Mus musculus: one gene and its partners. The protein of the gene in region 3 binds, or shares a complex with, the protein of the main gene of each other region. Links are inferred from orthologs where the notes say so. Each region holds a gene or a part of one and is shown on either strand. Other genes may lie near its edges. The genes, in order: Cdkn1b, Cdkn1a, Ccnd1 and Ambra1.

Region 1 (5,641 bases), on a different chromosome or scaffold from region 3:
AAATGTCTAAGAGACATTTCTGATTGTCACAGCTTCGGGAAGAAGATTGCTACTGGCATCTTGTGGGGGAGGCCAGAGATAATGCCAAACATTCTAAAATGCACAGGACTGCCTACCACAACAAAGAATAATTTGGCTCAAAATGTCAACTGTGCAGAGGTTGAGAAACTCGCTCTATAAAATCTGGGTCAAAGAGGGTGAGAAAGAAAAGAAATTCAGGAACCATAACACATCAGAGTAGCATATTTTCGTAATCTTGAAAAATACCTGGAAATGCAATTATAAAATTATTCCTCCCCACCAAGTCGAGGAATGTTTACAAAATTGCAATTTCTTACTCATATGCAGCATATCTGCACGAGTGCTTTTGACTAGAGTCTTATGGTTGCTTGGCTAATAAATGCCTCTTTATCAGAACAGGCCAGGTAAAAATCCAGGCGGCTCATCTGAAAAGCTAGGCCAGAAGCCACACAAAGCAACTAAAGCTACAGGTGTGATGGCTAGTTAGAAAGAACTCCCATCCAATTCGACAACTTTATAGAGGGTATAATATGGAAAGTGACTCTAATGGCCATTTTCCATCTCTGAAAAAATGCTATGTCTGTAGAAGGTATATCATGACTTTATGATTTATAAACACAACAAGCTGGAACCCTGTGCCATCTCTATATTCCTTCATTTATTTTTAAATTTCAATAAATGAGGACCTGAAAAGTTAATAATAAACTGTTAAGATCTATTTGTATGCTGGGTTATAAGTGGGCTTTAGAAATAGAGAATGCTGGTTTTCTTCATAAGGAGCTTATAAACTATTATAAGTAGTTAGAGCATATGAATAGTCAATCTATGTAAATTTAGGGGCTGGGTTACTCTAATTAGGCAAGTGGGGTGATGAGATTTTTGACACATGGAAAAATCCACACTTGTGTTGGACCTTCTCAGTTGGTCCTAACATCTACTATCCATTTCCCCTATAAACATCCAAACCGTCCTGTTCCAGCAAATTAGCATACGGTGCTGACGTGTGGGAAGGCTGCTTCCTCTAGCTGTTCATTTAACTTCTGCTTTGTAACCTCAGGGTTAAAATCAATTCTGTGGGAGCATTAGTACTTCTGAACTTTCCAGTCTAATTTTTTTTTTAAGTATGAAGTTCCTTTCTCTCCAAAATTTACCAGCATACAAGGCACAACTTTAAAAAAAAATAAAAAAGTACCCAGAGGTGATGGCACACAACCTCTAATCTCAGCACTCAGGAGGCAGAGACAATACAGATCTCTGTGAGTTCGAAGCCAGCGTGGTCTACAGAGCAATTCCCAGAATAGCCCGAGCTGTTTGTTACACAGAGAAACCCTATCTCAAAAAACCAAAAACCAAAACAAAAGCAAAAGATAAAAAGAACTCGAGCCACGGCAGCTCTATTCACACTCCTAATCAAACGTGCACTATGGGTACCTAGTTTTTCTCTTAAGAACATACATGTAAGTATATATTTGCCATTTTTCTACAGTTCAAATGGTTCAAAATAGGCTATTGGCTCAAAACGAACCTCTGGGAAATGGGTTCTCATGAACTGAGACTGGAAAGGAAAACTGTCATTCCCAGCCTAAGTTTTAGTGGGATTCATAAGGATACGACCGTCCCTATCCTTTGGGGCCTTGGTGGCAAGTTCTTGCTTGGGAACCTCATTCTGATTCCACTTTAAGGTAAATATCTTGGGGTGCAAATACTGCATTATAGTCCCCTCAAGTGATTCCAGCCTTCCCCAGTGTTAATTTTTTTGATCAAGGAAAGTAATTCCTCCTGGCAGGCAACTAATCTGCCAGCAGTCCTGGGGTCTGCAGGCCCCCCGGGGAGCGCAGCCCAGATGGGGTGTCAGTTTTGTGTTCTTCCTCATTAACCCACCGGAGCTGTTTACGTCTGGCGTCGAAGGCCGGGCTTCTTGGGCGTCTGCTCCACAGTGCCAGCGTTCGGGGAACCGTCTGAAACATTTTCTTCTGTTCTGTTGGCCCTTTTGTTTTGCGAAGAAGAATCTAAGAGGGGGGCAAGGGGAAATTTTTAAGAGAACACACACAAACCATCTTTATTATCGACAACAATGGCTGACAGAAGTAGGCCCAAGGGATGAACAACCCACTCACTACCTCCACCCACGACCCCTGGACCCGTCATCCCCGGTAGCATCTAAGGACACAAAATAAGGTTGTTCCCACTAACACAAGGAGTATTCTACACCCCACGTCTCTTCCCCACCCCCATCCCCACCCCCACCCCCCCACCCCAGCCAAGGAGGAGGCAGTTGGTAAACATCCGAACTTTTGTCACGTATCTACAGCTGGCTAGAGGGGAGGAACTGTGATGCGTTCGGCTACGGAAGTTATCACATCTTACTATCTCCGGCTTCTGACTTCAAAATCATAAACAGGGCAAGCAGTCGGATAGGGGGTATGTCAAACCTAAGCTTCAAACAAGTTCGATTTCCCAGAGCTAAAGCAGAACACGCTGGAGAAAGCAAGTGAACAGGGTCTAGTAAAGGGGCGCTTACGGAGACAGACAGACAGACAGACATTTTAAGTTTTCCAAAGAGTCACTACCTTCTGCAGCAGGTCGCTTCCTCATCCCTGGACACTGCTCCGCTAACCCAGCCGGATTGTCTGACGAGTCAGGCATTTGGTCCACCAAATGCCGGTCCTCAGAGTTTGCCTGAGACCCAATTAAAGGCACCGCCTGGCGGCTCCCGCTGACATCCTGGCTCTCCTGCGCCAGCACCTTGCAGGCGCTCTTGGGGGGGCGCGGGGGCCTGTAGTAGAACTCGGGCAAGCTGCCCCTCTCCACCTCCTGCCACTCGTATCTGCCCTCCAGGGGCTTATGATTCTGAAAGTCGAAATTCCACTTGCGCTGACTCGCTTCTTCCATATCCCGGCAGTGCTTCTCCAAGTCCCGGGTTAGTTCTTCATGATTGACCGGGCCGAAGAGATTTCTGCAGGCGGAAGGCTTGGGGTGCTCCGCTTGTCTGGCGTCCATCCGCTCCAGGCTCGGGCTCCCGTTAGACACTCTCACGTTTGACATCTTCCTCCTCGGGCGGGTGTGGACCACCGCCTCGCCTCTCTCCGGAAAAAAAAAAATGAAATAAACAACAAAACCGAACAAAAGCGAAACGCCACGGATGGAGCGCAAAACCCTCTTCGAAGTTCTGCGACTGCACACAGACAGTCAAATGGAGCAGAGCCAGGCGAGCGACCGCCCGAGCCGCAGTAGCGCGCAGGTCTGGGGAAGAGAGGCGCAGGGACACCCCAGCCGCCGCGCAGCTCGAGGCTTCAGTGATCAAGTGTACTGGAGGGCGGGGAAGGGAGGGGAGGAGGCAGGAGGAGGTGGCAAACAGTCGGAGCGTAGGCTGGGGCGAGCCCGTGTGTCCCGCGAACGCAGCCCCTCTCCAAACCTTGCCGCCGCGCGAGTCTCGGAGCCGCGAGTGAGTCGGGACAAGGGATGAGGGGGGAAAACACCCCAAAAGCACGAGCCCCCCTCCTTTTTTAGTTGCCCAATATGGCGGTGGAAGGGAGGCTGACGAAGAAGAAGATGATTGACACTGCAAGTCTATTTAAACAGAGGAGGAGCTCCATTGGTCTCGGCGCCGGGAGCCGCTCCGCCCAGGCTGGCGAGCGCGCTCTTAAGGTGGCCCCGGGCGCGGCGCCGCCGCCTCTCCGCGCTCCCGAGCGCGCCGCCTCCCCGTAGCGCCGCCAGGACATTGGCTGGTCGCGTGACTACTCGGAGGTGTACGACTGCCAACAAACCTGCTCTGGCTGGCCCCGGAGAAATTAAAAATAAGACAAACAAACTAGCCAAACGGCCGGAGAGCTGGGGAGGGGCCAGCGCGGCGGCCAGGCAGGGACCCGGGGATCTAGGTCCCGGCGCTGCAGAGCTGCGCTGGCAGGCGCGTCACCGCTCCCGACTGCGACCTCCAGGTCTTTGCCCGCGAAACCTAGGGCCTGGACCAGTGGGCTCCTAGGTCGCTGGCGGCTTATTAGGAGCTTCGGTGGCTAGTTCAGCCCACCTGCATTCGCCGAGGTGGGAATGGAGGAGGGTATGCGAGAGATTCAGGAAACCTTGGCTCAGGGCCTGGGGCAGCCCACCCACCCCCACCCGGCAGGGTGCCTTAGCTGGGGTGCGGAATCGGCCGCTTAGCCTGACCCCAGAAGTCTCTGCTATGTAGGACAGGCCAGGAGGTGGTTTCAAAAAGAAGCCAGGACTGACCGCTCTTATCAGGGTGTTTCTGAATCCAAGCGCTTCCACCGTAGGATCTCGAGATTGAAAACCCCCAGTGCTCTCCCAAGCCTCTCTTTAGAGCCGTCCCAGACAGAAATCAGAAAAAGCCAGTTCTGATTTTCTTGGTTCCTAAGCACAGTGAAAGCCATTGCTATAGCGTGTGGGAACTCGCCTTTATACCCTTATGTTCTTTCCCGGGCGAAGCCGTTCCCTCCACCTGAGTCCAGACGCCAACTACAACAGTGCCTTCCTTCTCTTTTTTCTCCCACCAGCCTGTTGCTTCCAACCTACTCAGTACAATATTCAAATACAAGCAAATACTTTTAGAGAGCTGCAGGTTGTTAAAGGGCGAAAACACTTTCCTAAGGATCTAAGACTAGATTTGCAAGTGATTTATAATACCACCACCACGGTATTACCAACATCTAGTAATGTTGGGTGGGTTTTTTTCAGCTCCTTGGGCAACTTCACATTTCTCTATCACTGCTGAGCACAGTGACAGAAGTTAAAACAGAATAGCCAGGCCTGTCGTATCTCAGAGTTCAGTGAGATTTTAAGGGCTTTGCCCACTAGTATTCCCAAACAGTCTTGGTTTGCGCTAAACACAAAACATGTTACAGGAAATTAAATTTCTGGTTTAGTGTCCCAAAGAAGCATGGTTTTCCTATCTTCCTCTGGTGTAGGTGAGACTGAATATTGACTTGTTTTCTTAGCCACATCTTTGCCAGGATGTGTGTGTGTGTGTGTGTGTGTGTGTGTGCGCGCGCGCGCGCGCACGTGCACGTGTGTGTGTGTGTGTGTGTGTGTGTGTGTGTGTGTGTGTGTGTGCCTTGCCTCCTGCATTCAAAATGTAACAGTCCAGAAAGTTCTTAGATAGGTTTAGCCTCTTTTTACCAATGAGGAAATTGATACTCAGGTTTCCTGTCTGGGGACTTCTATTCAGTTGGTGGCAGAGTCTCCTCATTCTCGGCTGGTTTGGGTTTTGTCTGTTTTCTTCTGGTGGTCTCAGTGTTCCTGATTTTGTCTGGATTTGGATGGGTTGCAGTCTGCAGACTCTACTCTCTTACAAGGATCCAAAAGGTCTCTTTCCAGGCCTTGGATGCCCACAGATGTCTCCTTGATCATCAAGTGCAGCTGTCACAAGCCTTTGGTATCACTATCTACTAGTTCAGCTGAAATACAGATTCCAAAAAGATGGGTGGGGCTCATTGAGTAGGAAAGAAGGCAGCATCCAGGCGTGGACTTCAAATCCAGGCCTTCTGCACTGTTCAGTTGGGACCAAGGTGGGGAGTTGCCTCTTCTGGGGTGCTTTGTTTGCTGTGGTTTTGCACTGTGTTGGTCAGGCTGGCCTTGAACTCCTGGGCTCTGCCTCAGCTTCAGT
Region 2 (5,444 bases), on a different chromosome or scaffold from region 3:
TTTGTTTGTGTTTGTTTTGAGAGAGAGAGGAATTTGTTTTTGTTTTAGAGGCAGGATGTCATGTAACCTTGATGAATTATTGGTCCTCCTGTTTCTGTCTCCTGAGTGCCGGGATTACAGATGTATGCCGCTATCATCTAGATGATGCCTTACTAGGGATCCAACTCCTGGCTTCATACATGTTAGGCAAGCGCTATATTAACGGAGCTACATCCCTTTTTGGATGCATGGTGATCTCAGATAGCTCAGGCTAGCCTTGAGCTCCAAATCCCCCCTGCCTCCCAAGTACCGTGATTTCAGGCATGTACCTCTATGCTTAGCTGAGATGGTGGTCTTGCTATGTAGCCCATGTGACCAGGCTGGATCGTGTAACAAGACTGAAGAAAACCCCCTTCTGCTGGGTGTGATGGCTCAGACCTGTAGTCTTAACTCTAAGCAAGGAAGTTAAGGCAGGAAGATTGCCTTGAATATGAGGGCCACCCTGGGCTACATAGCGAGGCCTCGTCTCAAAAGACCCCAAACAGAAGGAAATAAAACTGACTAGAGACATGGAGGAAGGTGGGAACGGAGAATGTCTTACTGCTATGTCTGTCAGGAACATCCGTAGATGTTTCTAGAATTGTCCTTTATCAATGTCATTTTAGTGGACTGTCTGGATCTTGGGAGGGGGAGTATTAGACATTTCCCTCATTTTGGACCCAGAGAAAGAAATCTGCAAGCAGAGTACTCTGGGCAGCTTGCCAGAGGTCAGCAGGTAGCCATTAGTGTGGTCCCAGTCAGGTCTTGATGCTCTCACTTGCAGGATGTATTATGGTGTGAGAAATGTTCACATGCTGGCTTCTGAAGAGGGGAGAGGGGAGGTAAGGAGCCTGGCGGCTGTTTTTCTTGGTAGTCCGTGGTCTGAGAACTGGACTCAATCTCCCCGATTTCTGAGGCGGTTGACAGCATCCTTTCCTTCTGTGGAACTGCTTTCCTCGTCTGTGAGACAGGGAGGAAATGATCGCGTTCTGGACCCGATGTCCGAGGGGCTTCTGGGAGGAGGGGGAAAAAAATCTCCAGACATAGTGGGACTTCTTGGGATTTTAAACTATTTTTTATTATTTATGGGCTTGTTTTGTTTTTGAGAGGGTCTCAATGGATAGCCCAGGCTGGTCTTGAACCTGTAACGCCCCTCGTGCCTCAATCTCCCAAGTATAGGATTCCAGGCTTTTGCTATCATACTCAAATGATCAATTTATTTATATTTGAAACAGTGTCACATATTTCAAGTTGGTCTCCATCGGAATAGGTAGCTGTCAAAACGACCTTGAATGCCTATTTCCCCCTCCTCACCCCCCACTGGGCGCTGTTATTACAGACGTGACCCCGCATGCCCAGTTTATGGGGCCCTGGAGCTCCAACCCAGGGCTTCACTTCCAGCAAGTTAGGCAAACACTGTACCAACAGACCCACCTCCCGAAACCCAGGATTTTATTTACTAATATCAGTGATCTGGAAAAGAGTTAGTCCTTCCCACAGTTGGTCAGGGACAGACCCATAAACACTCACTCAGCTCTAACTGTACTGTTGTTCATAGATGTATGTGGCTCTGCTGGTGCGCTGCGTGACAAGAGAATAGCCCAGGTGTGGGGGAGGGGAGGGCGCGCCCTCTTAACGCGCGCCGGTTCTAGCTGTCTGGCGCGGGCTTAGATTCCCAGAGGGGAGGGCGGGCCAGCGAGTCCCCGGGATCGGTGAAGGAGTGGGTTGGTCCTGCCTCTGAGGGGGCGGGGCCTGGGCCGACGCTATAAGGAGGCAGCTCGACGCCAACTGCAGCAGCCGAGAGGTGTGAGCCGCCGCGGTGTCAGAGTCTAGGGGAATTGGAGTCAGGCGCAGATCCACAGCGATATCCAGACATTCAGAGGTGAGAGCTTCGTGGCAGGGAACAATAGTTCTTCCCCGTAGCAATGCGCTGAGCCCAGTGGGTGTCCCCAGAAGTGTGTGTGTGTGTGTGTGTGTGTGTGTGTGGTGATGAGTGGATCACCTGTGTGTGTATATGTGTATTTGTGCGTGCCCGCCAGAGTCACAGGTGTGTCCGCGGCAGGTGGATGACGGGTGTGGGTCTGAGCGTCCGTGGTGGCTGAAGGCTTCGTTTGTTGGAGTGTGACGAGGGTCAGGCTATGTCGCGGACTCGGCATACAGAGTCTGAACTCCAGGACCACGGATGGCAGCCACTCTTCCAGTCCTTGGAGACCGGGTCCGAGCGATGGCTGGCGGGGATCGGCTACCGGGAGCTCGCTTCTGGTTGCCAATGTTTCTAGGGATTCCAGGTGCGGCTCGCCCAAAGCGTGAGAATGAAGCTCACGGTGCCCCGAGATGGGTCCTGGGTGGCGGTTGTGACAAGCTTCGGCGAGTCTATCTAGAGCTTAGCGCAGAGCGGTTCTCCGATCCCATGGGTGCCGCCGGATCCCCGGTCCTTGTGAACCAAGTGCCCTGTTTCGCGGTAGCCACCACCCCACTGGGCTCTGAGGTCAGCGCGAGCTGTGTCCTCCGCCCTCGGGATCGTGCCTGGGCACGTCCTAGAGGACAGGCGAGGAGGTGACTCATTGTGACAAGGAGACCCCGGGCACTGGATTGAGACCAGAATCGCGCCACAACTGGGGATGGGTCAGTGGCAGCCCAGAAGCCCCTTTCCCTGCCCGGGTACAGCCTCGTTCCTGCCCCGTCCCCTCCCCCGCGCGGCACAGTGACCTATTTGGCGGGCACAGTATGTTCCCAGGGAACCCGGGACACGGGGAGGTCCAGGACGCGGTGTCCGGTCCCCGCTCGGCGGCGCGCCCTCGGGGACAGGGAGTCTGGGCGGGTCCTGTCCACCCTGCCAGCCCGGGAAGCGCAAAGGGTCCCACCCACCGCGCCCACCACGACCCGGACCAGTGACCGTGGGGCGCGAGAGGAGCCCGCACTGTAGAGCGGCCGGTATCCTCGCGGAGTGAGGCTTACGGGTGCCGTACATCAGACGCCCCGGGGCTGGGGCCCTCGACCCAGTCCACACCCAGTGTAGGAAGGTGACCAGGCTGAGTGCGCCCACTAGGGCACATCCATTCCACTCGGAACCTCCGGGGACAAGGGCTACACTTGCACCCTGGTCGTGCGGGAAATACTTTGGGCTTGGGTTTGGCATTTGGGGGCGCGCTGGCAGCTTCCTCTGTCCCCTACGTCGCGTTTCAGAGAGGACACTCAGGCGGTTTTTTGTTGTCCTCGCCCTCATCTATTTTTATTTTCCAGGGATCTGACTCATCGCGTGCTTTGGGCGTGGAGATCAAGGTGGAGGGGGCCAGAGCTAAGAGCACTTTCTTTGCTCTCGAGTGTCCGTGCGTGCGTGTGTGCGTGCGTGCGTATGTGTGTGTGTGTGTGTGTCTGTGTACGTGCGTGTGTGTGTGTGTGTGTATGCGTGCGCGCGCGCGCGCTCAGTCTGGTTTCCCAACATAGGCGGGAATTTAGGAAGCCTGGGCTCATCGTGACGTGTTTTGTGGCCCGGGGTCCCCCTCCTTTCCTCTCCTCTCTCCACCCCAGGGTGACGCGCAGCTCCGGTGCCCAAGCAGTTTTGGCGGGCGGGCAGCGCCGGGCAGGAAACTGACTCACCACTCCTTGCTCGGCCTACGCGCCGCCTACCGAGCGCCATTTCCTGAGTGCACAGCGCCCCCTACCGGCATCAGTGAGGACTGCAAGGCCGGCTAGGCGCGGGTGGCACCACGGGCTTCTGCCACCCCCACCGCGGCTTAAAGGGAATTAAAATATGCCTGATGGCCAGATACAAGTGATTTTAGCAGGGTGTGCTAGCGGACTATTAGGGAGGCGTGGCCCTTGAGAGACAAGGTGGAGATCGTGCCCCTCTTGGGTTCCTGGTCTTATCTTCAGCTATGAAAAACTGGGGACTATCCAGCCTTAGCCGAGTCCATTGGTGTCTTCCCTTCCTTCCTCTGGCCCCTGTGAGCTACCGTCTGGGGAAGGGCACCAAACTTGTTTTTCGGCTCAGTTTGTCTGGGGAAATGAGCCAATCTATATTTCTATATCTATATAGATCTCTCTCTCTGTCTCTGTGTGTGTGTGAAAGAGAGACAGAGACAGAGAGACAAGCTTACAAAATGGCCCCAGCTACCAGTACTATATAGACAGGCTGGCCCAGTGGCCTGGAACTCATAAGGATCACGTGCCTCTGGTGGAGTGCTGGGATTAAAGACTCTCCCCATAACATGGAGCTCAGTCTATATTTAATAAAAAAGCTTTTCCAGCTGATTTTAATGGAGTCCTCTGGTCATGCCCCTCAAGGTGAGAAGACGAGAGAATGATCAATACTAGACCAAAAGGGTCTGAATTCAAACCCCGCTTGTGAGCCCTGTGCCTTTGGACACACATTCTGAACCTGGATTAGCTCTGCCGTAAAAGAATGTGATATTGCCATCTATTAACGATAGCTTTTGGTGGCTTACAACTGCAATCCCAGCACACTAGAGGCAGAGGCAGGAGGATGACTGAGTTGTACTAAAGGATGTGAATAGGCCCCAAGCTCTACCTGTAGGCAGAGGCCATCTGAGGTCCTTTAGGCCTCTGAGGTCTGCACCTTGAGAATCCTTTTGCGGGCAGTGGGAATCCTTGTTAGACCTGTGTTTCGGTTGGTTGGTGTTTAGCCAGGCTCTCACTATGCACACCAGGATGGCCTTCAACTCACAGACATTTTGCCTCTGCCTCCCGAGTGCTGTGTTTTGGGAATTGGCTGTTTTACTTATTTATGGAAGCCACAATGCTGGCCACGTTCCCTATGTAGTAGCCAAGGTAGACCCTGAACTTCTTTCCCTACCTCTGCCTCCAGCGATTACAGGTGTGTGCCGCCACACCCAGTTTTATAGAGAGCTCCTTGCTTAGCACAAGGCCCAGGCTTTACCATCGGGGCCCCAGACGCTTCATCTCTTCTGGCTTCCTACCTTGAATCATAGTCTGGGTACCCCCTTCTCTCTTCCAGCTGTGGGCAAACTCACCCTGAGGTCTTAAGGAGCTGGGCGTGTGTATGTGTGTGGTAGTGTATGTGGTAAGAGCCCAGGGGGTCTTGCCTCAGGAAGCCACTGGGGCTCACCTTGCAAGCTCAAAGGCCCTCCTTAGAAGCTGCATCCCCTAGTCTTGGAGTCAGGATGGGCCACTCAGGTATCCCTCTTTCCTGGAGAGGAGCCAGGTAAACCAACACCTTTAACTTTTTTTTTTTTTTCAGTGCCTGTAAAACGGGTTCCTTGGGCACAGGCTATAGGCACGTCTGGGGCTGGGAGGTGTCTAGACTCCAGATTACCTGATCTGCCTGGCAGGATGTGGCTCAGCCTGGGAGAGAGCCTTAACCCCGCTCCACCCCTTCAGACTCTCCTCTCCCCCAGGCTACTGCCTCCCCCCAGGCTGCTGCCTCCCCCCAGGCTACTGCCTCC
Region 3 (4,890 bases):
AGGCCACGGCGCTGGCGGTGGGAGATTCTTTTTGTCCGCAGTCTGTCCCCTTAGTATTTCTACAGGCACATTTTGTTGTTTACCTGTATGGGGTCCCGGGTTGACCCAACTCTTTAGACCTTCTCGAATCAGCCTGCCTTCCTTTTGACCGTGTTCCTCATTCTCTGCAGCAAATGGAACTGCTTCTGGTGAACAAGCTCAAGTGGAACCTGGCCGCCATGACTCCCCACGATTTCATCGAACACTTCCTCTCCAAAATGCCAGAGGCGGATGAGAACAAGCAGACCATCCGCAAGCATGCACAGACCTTTGTGGCCCTCTGTGCCACAGGTAAGGCTCCACCCCCATTCTTCCCAGGAAGAGCGGGCTCCTTGCCACTCCCCCTGGGGTTAAGGCCTCTTTCCTTGCTATCTATTCTGAGCCCAGGGTGCAGATAGTTTGTTGGAGAGATAGATGATACTGGGTGGCACATTCTCTTGGCTAGTATCTTGGAGACCTAACAGAATGACACAGCTTCCCTGTGCCAACCTTTCCACTGCCAGGAAGTGGTACGGCCACAGCATGCTTTCTGAAGAGGTTTTTGCCTCTTTTCCTAGGCTTCCTGCCTTGCCTCTGTTCTTAAGGAGCTCGAGCTATAGAGCACACACACACACACACACCAGCTTCTCCCAGGCTGAGCCACCTGCTAGGGGTTCCTACATGGATGGGACAAATGGTCCAGCCTCAGCCCCACGAGCTACATACAGTACAGTCCCAGAGCAGGAACTTAGAGGCCCCACCAGGGGTACTGCAGGCCAGTACTTTTTGGCTGAGTCCTGGGAGGGTTGGCTGGAAACAGAGAAACTAGAACCTCCCTATGACTCCTCCAAGGGACCCTCCCTGGCCCCAGACCCCAGGTAGATTAGGCTGACATAAGTCATGGTAGACAGCCATGCAGGAACCCACACACATAGACAACCCTGCTACTTCTGAGTGGTTTCAGTACTACTTCTGACAGCTGCTCCTCACCTCTAACTGAGAACCCTACCCAGGAGGCTTAGCAATATTGAGGGGGTGTGGTGTTCTCCCACCTGTTGAGGACCCCCTTCCTCTGTGGCCCTGATCAGACCTCAGTTGCTATAGCTGTTTGGCCTGTGATGTCAGAAGGGCCGGTAGAGTATCTCCCCCCACCCCCAACCTCCACCTCACCCCCGCTGTCTCAGTGACATCTTCTTATGTCTGACAGCCCCATAGCCAGTGTTTCTAAGCTGCTGGTGTGAGAATTTGGAAATTCTAGCTTGCCAACTACCTGCCGAGAGTGCTGAGCCCGCCCCAAGGGTACCAAACAAGGGGGTGGCAGATGGGAGTAGCAAGGCCATCAGTAGGCTGGAAGGATCTAAGGGGTGGGGGTGGCCCTGCTGGCAGTCAGGGAGGCAGCTGGCTGGGGTTTCTCTGAGGAGAGCGGAGCCTTTGGAAGCTCCAGGCAGCCTTTTATGGAGCTGAAAGTGCCTTCAGAGAGGCAGCAGAGTTTCCCAGAGATAACTTGGGGATGGAGAGGCACAACCTCCCCCAGGATAGTTCTGGCAGTAGTGTGCCCCTCCCGGGACCCCTAGATGCCAGCAGAGTAACCAGTAAGCGCTATATCTGGGTACAGCTGGACTCAGCTCTTCCAGCTCTCCTTACTGCCTTTGTCTGTGCCCCTGGAATACAGGTGGGGGTAAAGGACAGCTTGGTGACCTGCGGTAGGCCAGTGTTCTGTGGTCTGGAGCATTTGTTTCTCTGTAGGAGCAACCAGCTCCTTTGTCACACAGGAACCACTTTGGGAAAAGGCCAGTGTGACATCACCGTGAATGGAAAGATGCTGACATCAAGGCCAGGAGATCTGTCGTCTGTGTGACAGGGGTTCCCCCTATAGGAGATGGGAAGGCATAACTTCCCTTCTGCAAACCGCCCCCCCAACCTGGATTCCTGACTGCAGTTGAACAATGTGCTAGCTAGGGTTGGGGTTGTTAACACAGGTGGCCAGAGCGCTATGTGGATGGATACAGACAGTGGGAAACTGAACTTAATGAAGTATGTAGGTGTCAGACATGCCACTGAGCCAGGGTACACCTATGTCATCAGCAACCAGTGTGAAGACACAGATGTTAGTAGCTAGGGATCCTTATAGGACATAACAGATCTTGCTACTGCCCGTGGGAGGGAGAAAAACAGGCTCTGGAAGGGGCTGGGGACTCCTGGTCCTGCTGGCTGGAGTCTCACTCCCTGTAAAAGGGCTGTTTGTGATTTGAACTTGACTCCATAGCCAGGTTTTGGTTCACTGGACTCACTAGCATGAACTGTCCTTGGTGCCACCTGGAGGTATTGCTTGTCTGCTGGATCCCTTTAACAGCCAAAGCTGTATGTTCTCTCAGGGTGGTCCCCAGAGGGCCACCTCGCTACAGCAACTCTCTGCCTTCCTGATCCCATTCCTTCCAGCCTCCTTGATCCCAGGCTCTGGGTGACACACAAGATGATTGATGGGAGCTGACATCTGTTCATTCTTGTGTCCTCCTCTGGCCTGGAAGCCCTGATTCGCAGGCCAAGTGACCAGCTGTCCCTGTCACTATTTCTTTGTTGGACGTGACAGGGAAGCAGTTTTCAGACTCATCTTTGGTGGGTTTATGCGGAGAGGCATTCCATCGGTGTGACATACAACTGCAGGATGCTGAGTCCAGTGGACCTGAGAGGTGTGGAGTTGGTGACCCCAGATGAAGTCCTAAAATGACACCCCACTACTTCCCAGTTGGGACATGTACATATGAGAGTCCCTAAGACTCCAGGGCCCCTCATGAGGGACCTTGGCCTGGAGATCTGAGGTGGCTATTCCCAGCTCCCTCTGAGTCTATTCCTACTGGGTTTTCCTGGACTGGGGTCACATGTCTTCCCCAACCTGGGTCAGTAAGCCGGGAAGGCTAACTCCCTTCTGTGGAGTCTAGCCTGGCCTCTGAGGAACCTGGGCCTGTCATCTCTACAGCTTTCTCCTGTGTCTGAGATGTGTCTCTAGTCCTTGGGGTGCTGCCAGGCTGACTCTGGAAGAGACAGAGATCCCTGCCTCCCACCTCAGCCGCGCAAATACTGGGATGCAGATGTGAAAGCACCACACCTTCATAGATTCCATCCTCTTAGGGCGACATAGCCAACCCCTCCTTGATGTTTGCTGGAAGTGCTGGGGATTGAACCCGGTGTGTATGCCAGGCAGCATTTTAAAGTTTGAGCCAAGGCCTTATTGACAGGTAGCATCAAGGCTCTGGCCTGGACACCGTAATCCTCCGATGTGCTGGGGTCTAGAGATGCAGCACTGTGTGCACCTAGTGCCACTTAGGTGTCTCCAAGGGAGCTAGAGTTGATGTGGGCATCCATTGGAAGGGCTTGAAGACCGGCCCCGAGGCTGTGGGTGAGAGCTGAATCATAGGCATGTCTCTGTCCCTCTCGCTGTAGATGTGAAGTTCATTTCCAACCCACCCTCCATGGTAGCTGCTGGGAGCGTGGTGGCTGCGATGCAAGGCCTGAACCTGGGCAGCCCCAACAACTTCCTCTCCTGCTACCGCACAACGCACTTTCTTTCCAGAGTCATCAAGTGTGACCCGGTGAGTAAGTCTCATCAAAGGAGGCTACAGCTGGCAAGGGCCTGGGAACCTTGGTGGGCAGTGCCAAGGCACTGTGTGACTGGGCTGGAGCTGAGAGGTGCCAAATCTGGGTCCCCACGAGCTTCTTCCCAGAGTCATGGGTCCCAAAGGCATAGAGGGCTGTGGTGTGGTGACAGTGCCCCTGCAATGTGTATGGGTAGTGGCATGTGAAGCCCGGTCTGGCCCAGCCAGCATAGGACCATATCTCCCTCAGTGCAGACGTTGGGGATTGAATCCATAAAGGACTCTGGTATAGACCTACACATTCTAGAACTTTCTTTGTGTGAGAGAGGGGTTTGCATCAGGCAGACTGTGCTACGTCTAACTGTACCTTTCTGCCAAGGAGTACAGCTGATCATGCTTGGGGCTCTGGCCGTGAATGTTTCCTCAAGGGCATCACAAGTTGGCATAGGCAGGCAAAAGTCCAGTTCTGGCTTGAACTTCAGTTGGGGGTTCAATGGAGGTCAGAGCCACTGGCATGTGGAAGGCTTCCAGGTGTGACAGCTGTTCTGCCCTGCCTGGCATCAGCCACAGGGACACCCCGTGCCCCATTCCTACATATCTCAATTGTAGAGCATGCAGCCCCCTTCCCCTAAGTGTCTGGGGCTCCTGAGAACTGAGAATAGGGTATGTGGGCAGGTTGGAGCCCACAGGCTTCAGAGAGGGAAGGGTGTCTGTGGGTCCATACTAGGCTACTTGGGCCTCACTTTCTCCATCTGTGAAATGGGGCCATTGCCCTTCCATCCTCTAGCCATGGTGTTCATCAAACAAAGGGGGAACAATACACAAGTTTTGAATGTGGGGGCTTCCCAGGTGTTCCCCAGGAATCCTCCTGGCTTCAGGAATATAGACAGTGCCCTAGCTTCAGCCTGCCTAGGCAGGGCTTCAGTTCATGAGTCTTATTCCTGGGCAAATGCTTTCCAGACCCTACCTGTGCTGGAGCTGTCCTCTCTCAGAGGCCACCCAAGGCAAAAAGTTATGAGAGATAGACGCTCCTTGTGGGGAAGTTCAGGGTACAGCCTGGGAGGAGGAACCTAGAGAGTAGCAGTACCTTTCTAGTCTCTGGCAGCTCTCACTGGATTTAGGGGTGGCTTGGGGAGTTTCCTCAAGCCTTGCTCTTAGCAAAGCCTGCCTCGCAGGTCAAGGCCCTGGCCACCGGCCTCTGGCTAAACAAGGACCCCCTCCATCTCCGCCCGCCTCTCCAGGACTGCCTCCGTGCCTGCCAGGAACAGATTGAAGCCCT
Region 4 (5,614 bases), on a different chromosome or scaffold from region 3:
GGTTGCTGGGATTTGAACTCATGACCTTTGGAAGAGCAGTCAGTGCTCTTACCTGCTGAGCCATCTCTTCAGCCCTTTGGATTTCTTATATGGCAGAAAAATAAACTTGTACCTTGTTTCAGGTTTGGACTTTTTTGGTTTTTTTGAGGGGGGGAGGGAGGAGGAACAAGATCTCACAACATAGTCCTAGCTGTCCTGGTATTCACTGAGTTGATCAGGATGCAGGATGGCCTCTTGAACTCACAGAGATCAGTTTGCTTGTGCTTACTGAGTGCCAAGTGCTGAGATTAAAGGCATAGGCTAGCATGTGTAGCTCTTTTGGAGTTTTTTGTTTGTTTGCTTGCTTTTTTTGGGGGGGGGCAAGGCTGGCCTCAAACAATCATATTGCAATCTCCCTTGCCTCAGCCTCTAGAAAGTTGGGATTAAAGATGTAAAGATATACAGTATCATTTTTGTTTGCTTATGTCCAAGAAGACCTAATCATAAACAATAATATTGTAATTGCCTTTTCTCAAGAGTAGCAAATACCTATCACATGAAAAATATCTAGAAATAAAATGTACTGATTGTACAGTATGGAGTTTGGCCAGTACAGTTAGGATCAGCTACAAATCAAATATGTCTGTAAAAGCCTGTAATTCCAACAAGTAGGAGGCAGAGGGAGGAAGATAGACTTTGAAGTAATATGGATTACATAGTGAGATTCTGTTTAAAAAAAAAAAAAAGCCAGGCATGGTTGCTTATAATCCCAGCACTCAACTAGCTTGAGGCAAAAGGATTGCTGTGAGCTTGAGGTCAGCGTGGGCTTCATAGTGAGTTCCAAGCCAGCCAAGCTATAGAGTGTGAGCCTCCACTGCAGTCTCTCACACTCCCTCAGGCACACTGCAAATGTGGAACAGGAAGGCAAGCACATCAGAATTTCAAAGCCATTCTTGGATACACAGAGTTCAAGACCAGTGTGTGTGCCACACAAAATCCTGTCTCTAAAAACTATTTAGTGAACTAGCTACGAAGCTAACTAAAAGCACACTGTGGACTGTGGCTTTAGATCCTTGGAAGAAAATAAAAGAGAAGTAAGTGGTTTTTTTTTTGAGAAAGAATAGAATAGGCTGGGAGGTTGTGGTGTTCACCTTTAATCCCAGCACTCCGGAGGCAGAGGCAGGCAAATCTTTGTGAGTTGGAGGTCAGCCTGGTCTACAGAACCAGTTCCAGGACAGCCAAGGGTACACAGAGAGAAGCCTTGTCTGGCAAAACAAAACCAAAGAATAAAAATTTAAAAACAAGGTACAGGAACTTTCCCTTCCCACATTAAGGTGTGCCATTTTCTCTTGGATATTCTTCTAAAGCTGACCTGGAGCATTCATAGCGATTGTTCTTCAGCTCTGAGGGGAAACCAAGAATAAAGTGGTAAAGTCATTTGTTCAACTGGGACAAGTAGTGTGAGAAGTCTCTAAGTGTACGGCAGTCGTTGAACTATTAAGACGAGCTTTATTCTGCTATGATTTATCTTCAATCAATGTGCTCACAAAAGGCTAATTCCTTTTTCACTTAAAACAAGGTCTTTGGTGGCGCATGCCTTTAATCCCAGCACTTGGGAAACCCTGTCTCGAAAACCACACACTCAAAAAACAAAACAAAAACCAAAACCTAGCCAAACCAACCAACCAACCAAAAAAAAAAAAAAAAAAAAAAAAAAAAACAAAAAAACAACAAAAAAAAAAAACCACCAAGGTCTCATATAGTCCAGTTTGGCCTTGTGCTTAACTGACTATGACTTTGAACTCCAAATCCTCATGCCTCCTTTCCTAAAATGCAGGGACTACGGGGGGAGGGTGTGGGGGACTTTTGGGATAGCATTGGAAATGTAATTGAGGAAAATACGTAATAAAAAAAAAAAGTACCAGGAAAAAAAAAAAAAAGCAGGGATTACAAGCGTGCTCCTGTCTCAAAAATTTAGTTCTCTAAATTACTTTAACACTCTGTCACCAACAGAAAATGGCAGAATCCCAGCCTACTCTACGCTATAGTTTAATGATCTGGATTTGTTTATTTATGCCTAGGAAGGCAGCCGGATTTGCAGCAGGAGCTGAGCAATGTTTCGGCACTCGGCTGCAGTGCCTTGAACGATTGCTGGGGCGCTCTTCCTTTGATGTCTGGGCGTTCGTGTGTTCGATGATCTTTTGCGGCGTCTTCTTGGTTGATGTCTCCGGAGCGGCGGCGGCTGTGCCAGGTCCTGGACTGAGTTATCCCGGAGGCCCCGGGCTCTGGCCGCTTTCTTCCGCTGGTCGGTCGAGCGGACCCCTCGCTTTCTTCGGCCTCTCCCCGCCTTCCGTCCGTGGCTCCGTGCGCTCGCTGGCTTTCGGGCCGAGCTCTCACTCTCCTCGCAGGTAGGCCCGGGAGGAGCCTGGGAGGCCCGGTCCCGCATCCTTCCGCCCAAGGCAGGAGGAGACCTTAGCGCCGGCCGGTGGGCGAGCGCGCGGCCCGCCGGGGTGCGCGTTGTGAAGGGGGTTGCGCCCGGGGGCGCGGCCGGAGGGCGGCCCGGAACTGAGCGAGAAGCCGGAAGGAGGGAGAGATGCTGAAGCTGCCGGCCGGGTTCCGTAGAGAGGGGATGTCGGGTCCTGGACGCGTGTCGTCACCCCTAGATTGTAGGAACTTGGCTTTCTTAGACCCTATTCCCTTTCTCCTTTCCTACAACTCCGGTTCCGGATGTCATGCTCAGTTGCACTGGGGACCCCTACTGAGTTCAGCCTCGGAGTGCCCTTTTGAGTAGGTGGAGGCTATTGAAACTAGGCCCTCCAGCTCCTAGGAACGAAATATCACTTATAGTCTTTTGGGGTAGGGAAACCGAGGCTGAGGTAGGGGACGTGACTTTTCCCTGTGACCTCGACAGATCATTAAATGTGCTGTAAGGTTCTTTTTTTTTTTTTTTTTTTTTTTTTTTTGTCTTTAACAGTTCACAATTCTCCCATTTTACTGGTCACTTTTTACTTAACAGTCTCTCATTTGACTTTTTGGAACTCTTCTTTCTTAGAAACATATATTGTGTTACTGGAGGCTTCAGACATTAAGGGAGCAAGTGATGTTTTTGACTGGGTTTGCTTTTTCGAAGTTTGTATCGTTTTAGCAAAAGTAGTAAGGATAGTTTAGTTTTGTTTACTCATAAATAATTTGTTTACTTCCACTTTACTTCTGATTAATACTGATTCCACTCTTCAGCTTGTTCTGAAACTTTCTGCTATGGTGTTAAGTACTTAGTGCAAGATGGAAGATGCTTAAGATGGTTAAGACTTTGAATTCAGGTTCTTGTCTTGTGGAGGTCTTTTCTAGGAGGGAATCCAAGGAATCTCTTTTGAAACTTTTTTTTATTTGGTTAGTGATTTAGTCATTTTATTCAAGAGTTCAAAAGTCTGTGTAGAAATTATTCAAACATAATTGAAGATGAATCATTTGTGAACTTTACTGTTTCTCTCTTTTTTTTTTAAAGATTTATTTATTATATGTAAGTATACTGTAGCTGTCTTCAGGCACACCAGAAGAGGGTGTCAGATCTCATTACTGGTGGTTGTGAGCCACCATGTGGTTGCTGGGATTTGAACTCAGGACCTTTGTAAGAGCAGTCAGTGCTCTTACCCGCTGACCCATCTCGCCAGCCCTCTCTTTTCTTTTTCAAGGCCTTAAGGTCTAAGTGTTTTTGTTAATTTCATTTAATCAAATGTCTTGATCCTAAAAAAAAGTCTTGGAGGTTGTTTGATGTTGGGTAAGTTTCCACACTATATAGAAGTCATAGGAGAGTTGATTTTAAGGGTGTATAGATTGTGAAAATCAGTTTCTGCACAGTTTTAAGATGCTTCAGGCCGGGCGTGGTGGCGCACGCCTGTAATCCCAGCACTTGGGAGGCAGAGGCAGGCGGATTTCTGAGTTCAAGGCCAGCCTGGTCTACAAAGTGAGTTCCAGGACAGCCAGGGATATACAGAGAAACCCTGTCTCGAAAAAAAAAAGAAAAAAAGAAAAAAGATGCTTCAGGAACTTTAGAAAGATGATAGAATTTTACATTGTTTCTCTAATTTTTCCTTTAATGTATGTGTAAGGTCAGTGAGGTTTATTATTATTTCTCGCCTTTAGAAGTGCTGGGAATTTTGAACCCAAGGTCACACGCACGTGCTCTTCCACAGAGCTACATCCCTACCCCTGAGATCAGTAATACTTAAATGAAGGTGATTGATGGAATGATTGATTGTGTGTCTGTGTGTCTGTCTGCACATGGGCATGCCATGCATGCATATGGATGTCAGAGGACAATTTCCAGGAGTCATTTCTCTCTGGCACACGGTTCCCAAGTGAATTCAGGTCATCTGGCTTGATAGTAATCTGAGCCATTTTGTTTTTTTTTTTTTGTTTGGTTTTTGTTTTTTTTTAGACAGGGTTTCTCTGAGTAGCCCTGGCTGTCCTGGAACTCACTCTGTAGACCAGGCTGGCCTCGAACTCAGAAATCCACCTGCCTCTGCCTCCCAAGTGCTGGGATTAAAGGTGTAAGCCACCACTGCCTGGCTACTTGATTCATTTTTGTATGCTTTTTTTTGTTTGTGTGTTGCTGTTTTTGAGGCAGGATCCCTTATATTCCAGGCTAGCTTCATTGACTGTGCAGCTGAGGACGGCCTGAGCTCTTTGATCCTCCTGCCTCCACCTCAGTTACTGGATTACCAGTGTGAACCACTGCTTGACAATTACTGAAGTCAATTTGGGCTGTTTCCTGGGATTTCAGAAATGTTCACATTATGACTGAGTTATTCTGTATTTTCATAAGATGGTTCTTGTGGATAATTAAGAGATATAAGCTGCCTGGTGTTGGTGGTTCACACCTTTAATTCCTGCACTTGGGAGGCAGAGGCAGGCGGATTTCTGAGTTCGAGGCTGAGAAACCCTCTCAGAAAAAAAAAAAGAAAGAAAGAAAGAAAGAAAGAAAGAAAGAAAAAAAGAGATATAAGCTTCAAATAGCTGTGGCAGTACATACTTTAAATTCCAACACTCCAGAGAGACTGAGGCAGGAAGATTGTAAGTTCTAGGTCAGCCTGAGTTAACATCCTGAGACTTCCTCAAGAAACAACAACAGAAACCAACAACAGAGACAAGAAAGACGAAAGCTTCTGAATGTGTTCTGGAATGTGGCCTGGACCAGAGTTACTGAAATAAACTGCTTTCTTTTTTTTAACTAAAAGAGAAAATGCTTTTTCTTTTTTAATGTTTTTTTTTTTTTAAAGACTTTTCATTTATTATTATAGTAAGTACACTGTAGCTATCCTCAGACACACCAGAAGAGGGAGTCAGAGCCCGCTACAGATGGTTGTGAGCCACCATGTGGTCGCTGGGACCCGAACTCTGGACCTTTGGAAGAGCAGTCGGGTGCTCCCACCCACTGAGCCATCTCACCAGCCCCCCTTTTTTAATGTTTATTTATTTTATGTGCATTGGTGTTTTACCTGCATTTATGACTGTGTCAGTGTTAGATTCCCTGAAACTGGAGTTGCAGACAGTTGTGAGAATTGAACAACCAGGTCCTCTGGAAGAGCAGCTAGTACTCTTAACCACTCAGCCATTTCTCCAGCCCTGAAAACCT

Evidence for each region.
Region 1: the proteins of Ccnd1 (region 3) and Cdkn1b are in contact, whole or in part, in a crystal structure (PDB 6P8F), measured with the Homo sapiens proteins. The link is inferred for Mus musculus from reciprocal best matches to the Homo sapiens genes CCND1 and CDKN1B. Residues at the interface, in NP_444284.1 of Homo sapiens: Met56, Ile59, Val60, Trp63, Glu66, Val67, Glu70, Glu92, Lys95, Lys96, Ser97, Arg98, Leu99, Gln100, Leu101, Ile126, Tyr127, Thr128, Asp129, Ser131, Arg133, Glu136, Gln139, Met140, Leu142, Leu143, Asn146, Lys147; in NP_004055.1 of Homo sapiens: Lys25, Pro26, Ser27, Ala28, Cys29, Arg30, Asn31, Leu32, Phe33, Pro35, Val36, His38, Glu39, Glu40, Leu41, Thr42, Asp44, Leu45, His48, Cys49, Met52.
Region 2: the proteins of Ccnd1 (region 3) and Cdkn1a are in contact, whole or in part, in a crystal structure (PDB 6P8H), measured with the Homo sapiens proteins. The link is inferred for Mus musculus from reciprocal best matches to the Homo sapiens genes CCND1 and CDKN1A. Residues at the interface, in NP_444284.1 of Homo sapiens: Met56, Ile59, Thr62, Trp63, Glu66, Val67, Glu70, Glu92, Lys95, Lys96, Ser97, Arg98, Leu99, Gln100, Leu101, Ile126, Tyr127, Thr128, Asp129, Ser131, Arg133, Glu136, Gln139, Met140, Leu142, Leu143, Asn146, Lys147; in NP_000380.1 of Homo sapiens: Ser15, Lys16, Ala17, Cys18, Arg19, Arg20, Leu21, Phe22, Gly23, Pro24, Val25, Ser27, Gln29, Leu30, Asp33, Cys34, Asp35, Leu37, Met38, Cys41.
Region 4: the proteins of Ccnd1 (region 3) and Ambra1 are in contact, whole or in part, in a cryo-EM structure (PDB 9IVD), measured with the Homo sapiens proteins. The link is inferred for Mus musculus from reciprocal best matches to the Homo sapiens genes CCND1 and AMBRA1. Residues at the interface, in NP_444284.1 of Homo sapiens: Thr286, Pro287, Thr288, Asp289, Val290, Arg291, Val293, Asp294, Ile295; in NP_001354397.1 of Homo sapiens: Arg54, Ser55, Phe57, Val73, His75, Arg96, Thr97, Trp99, Leu116, Ala139, Arg184, Ile945, Asn1012, Asn1029.

The regions. Positions count from the first base shown.
Region 1 is NC_000072.6:134,918,345-134,923,985, reverse strand, and holds the start of Cdkn1b (cyclin-dependent kinase inhibitor 1B), read right to left. Parts: upstream 3,586-5,641; 5' UTR 3,067-3,585; coding exon 2,592-3,066; intron 2,031-2,591; coding exon 1,912-2,030; 3' UTR 1,903-1,911; intron 1-1,902. UniProt on the Homo sapiens protein: Important regulator of cell cycle progression. Inhibits the kinase activity of CDK2 bound to cyclin A, but has little inhibitory activity on CDK2 bound to SPDYA. Involved in G1 arrest. Potent inhibitor of cyclin E- and cyclin A-CDK2 complexes.
Region 2 is NC_000083.6:29,091,962-29,097,405, forward strand, and holds the start of Cdkn1a (cyclin-dependent kinase inhibitor 1), read left to right. Parts: upstream 1-1,807; 5' UTR 1,808-1,900; intron 1,901-5,444. UniProt on the Homo sapiens protein: Plays an important role in controlling cell cycle progression and DNA damage-induced G2 arrest. Involved in p53/TP53 mediated inhibition of cellular proliferation in response to DNA damage.
Region 3 is NC_000073.6:144,932,734-144,937,623, reverse strand, and holds part of Ccnd1 (G1/S-specific cyclin-D1), read left to right. Parts: intron 1-170; coding exon 171-330; intron 331-3,459; coding exon 3,460-3,608; intron 3,609-4,786; coding exon of another isoform or gene 4,787-4,852; coding exon 4,853-4,890. UniProt on the Homo sapiens protein: Regulatory component of the cyclin D1-CDK4 (DC) complex that phosphorylates and inhibits members of the retinoblastoma (RB) protein family including RB1 and regulates the cell-cycle during G(1)/S transition.
Region 4 is NC_000068.7:91,727,993-91,733,606, forward strand, and holds the start of Ambra1 (activating molecule in BECN1-regulated autophagy protein 1), read left to right. Parts: upstream 1-2,145; 5' UTR 2,146-2,387; intron 2,388-5,614. UniProt on the Homo sapiens protein: Substrate-recognition component of a DCX (DDB1-CUL4-X-box) E3 ubiquitin-protein ligase complex involved in cell cycle control and autophagy.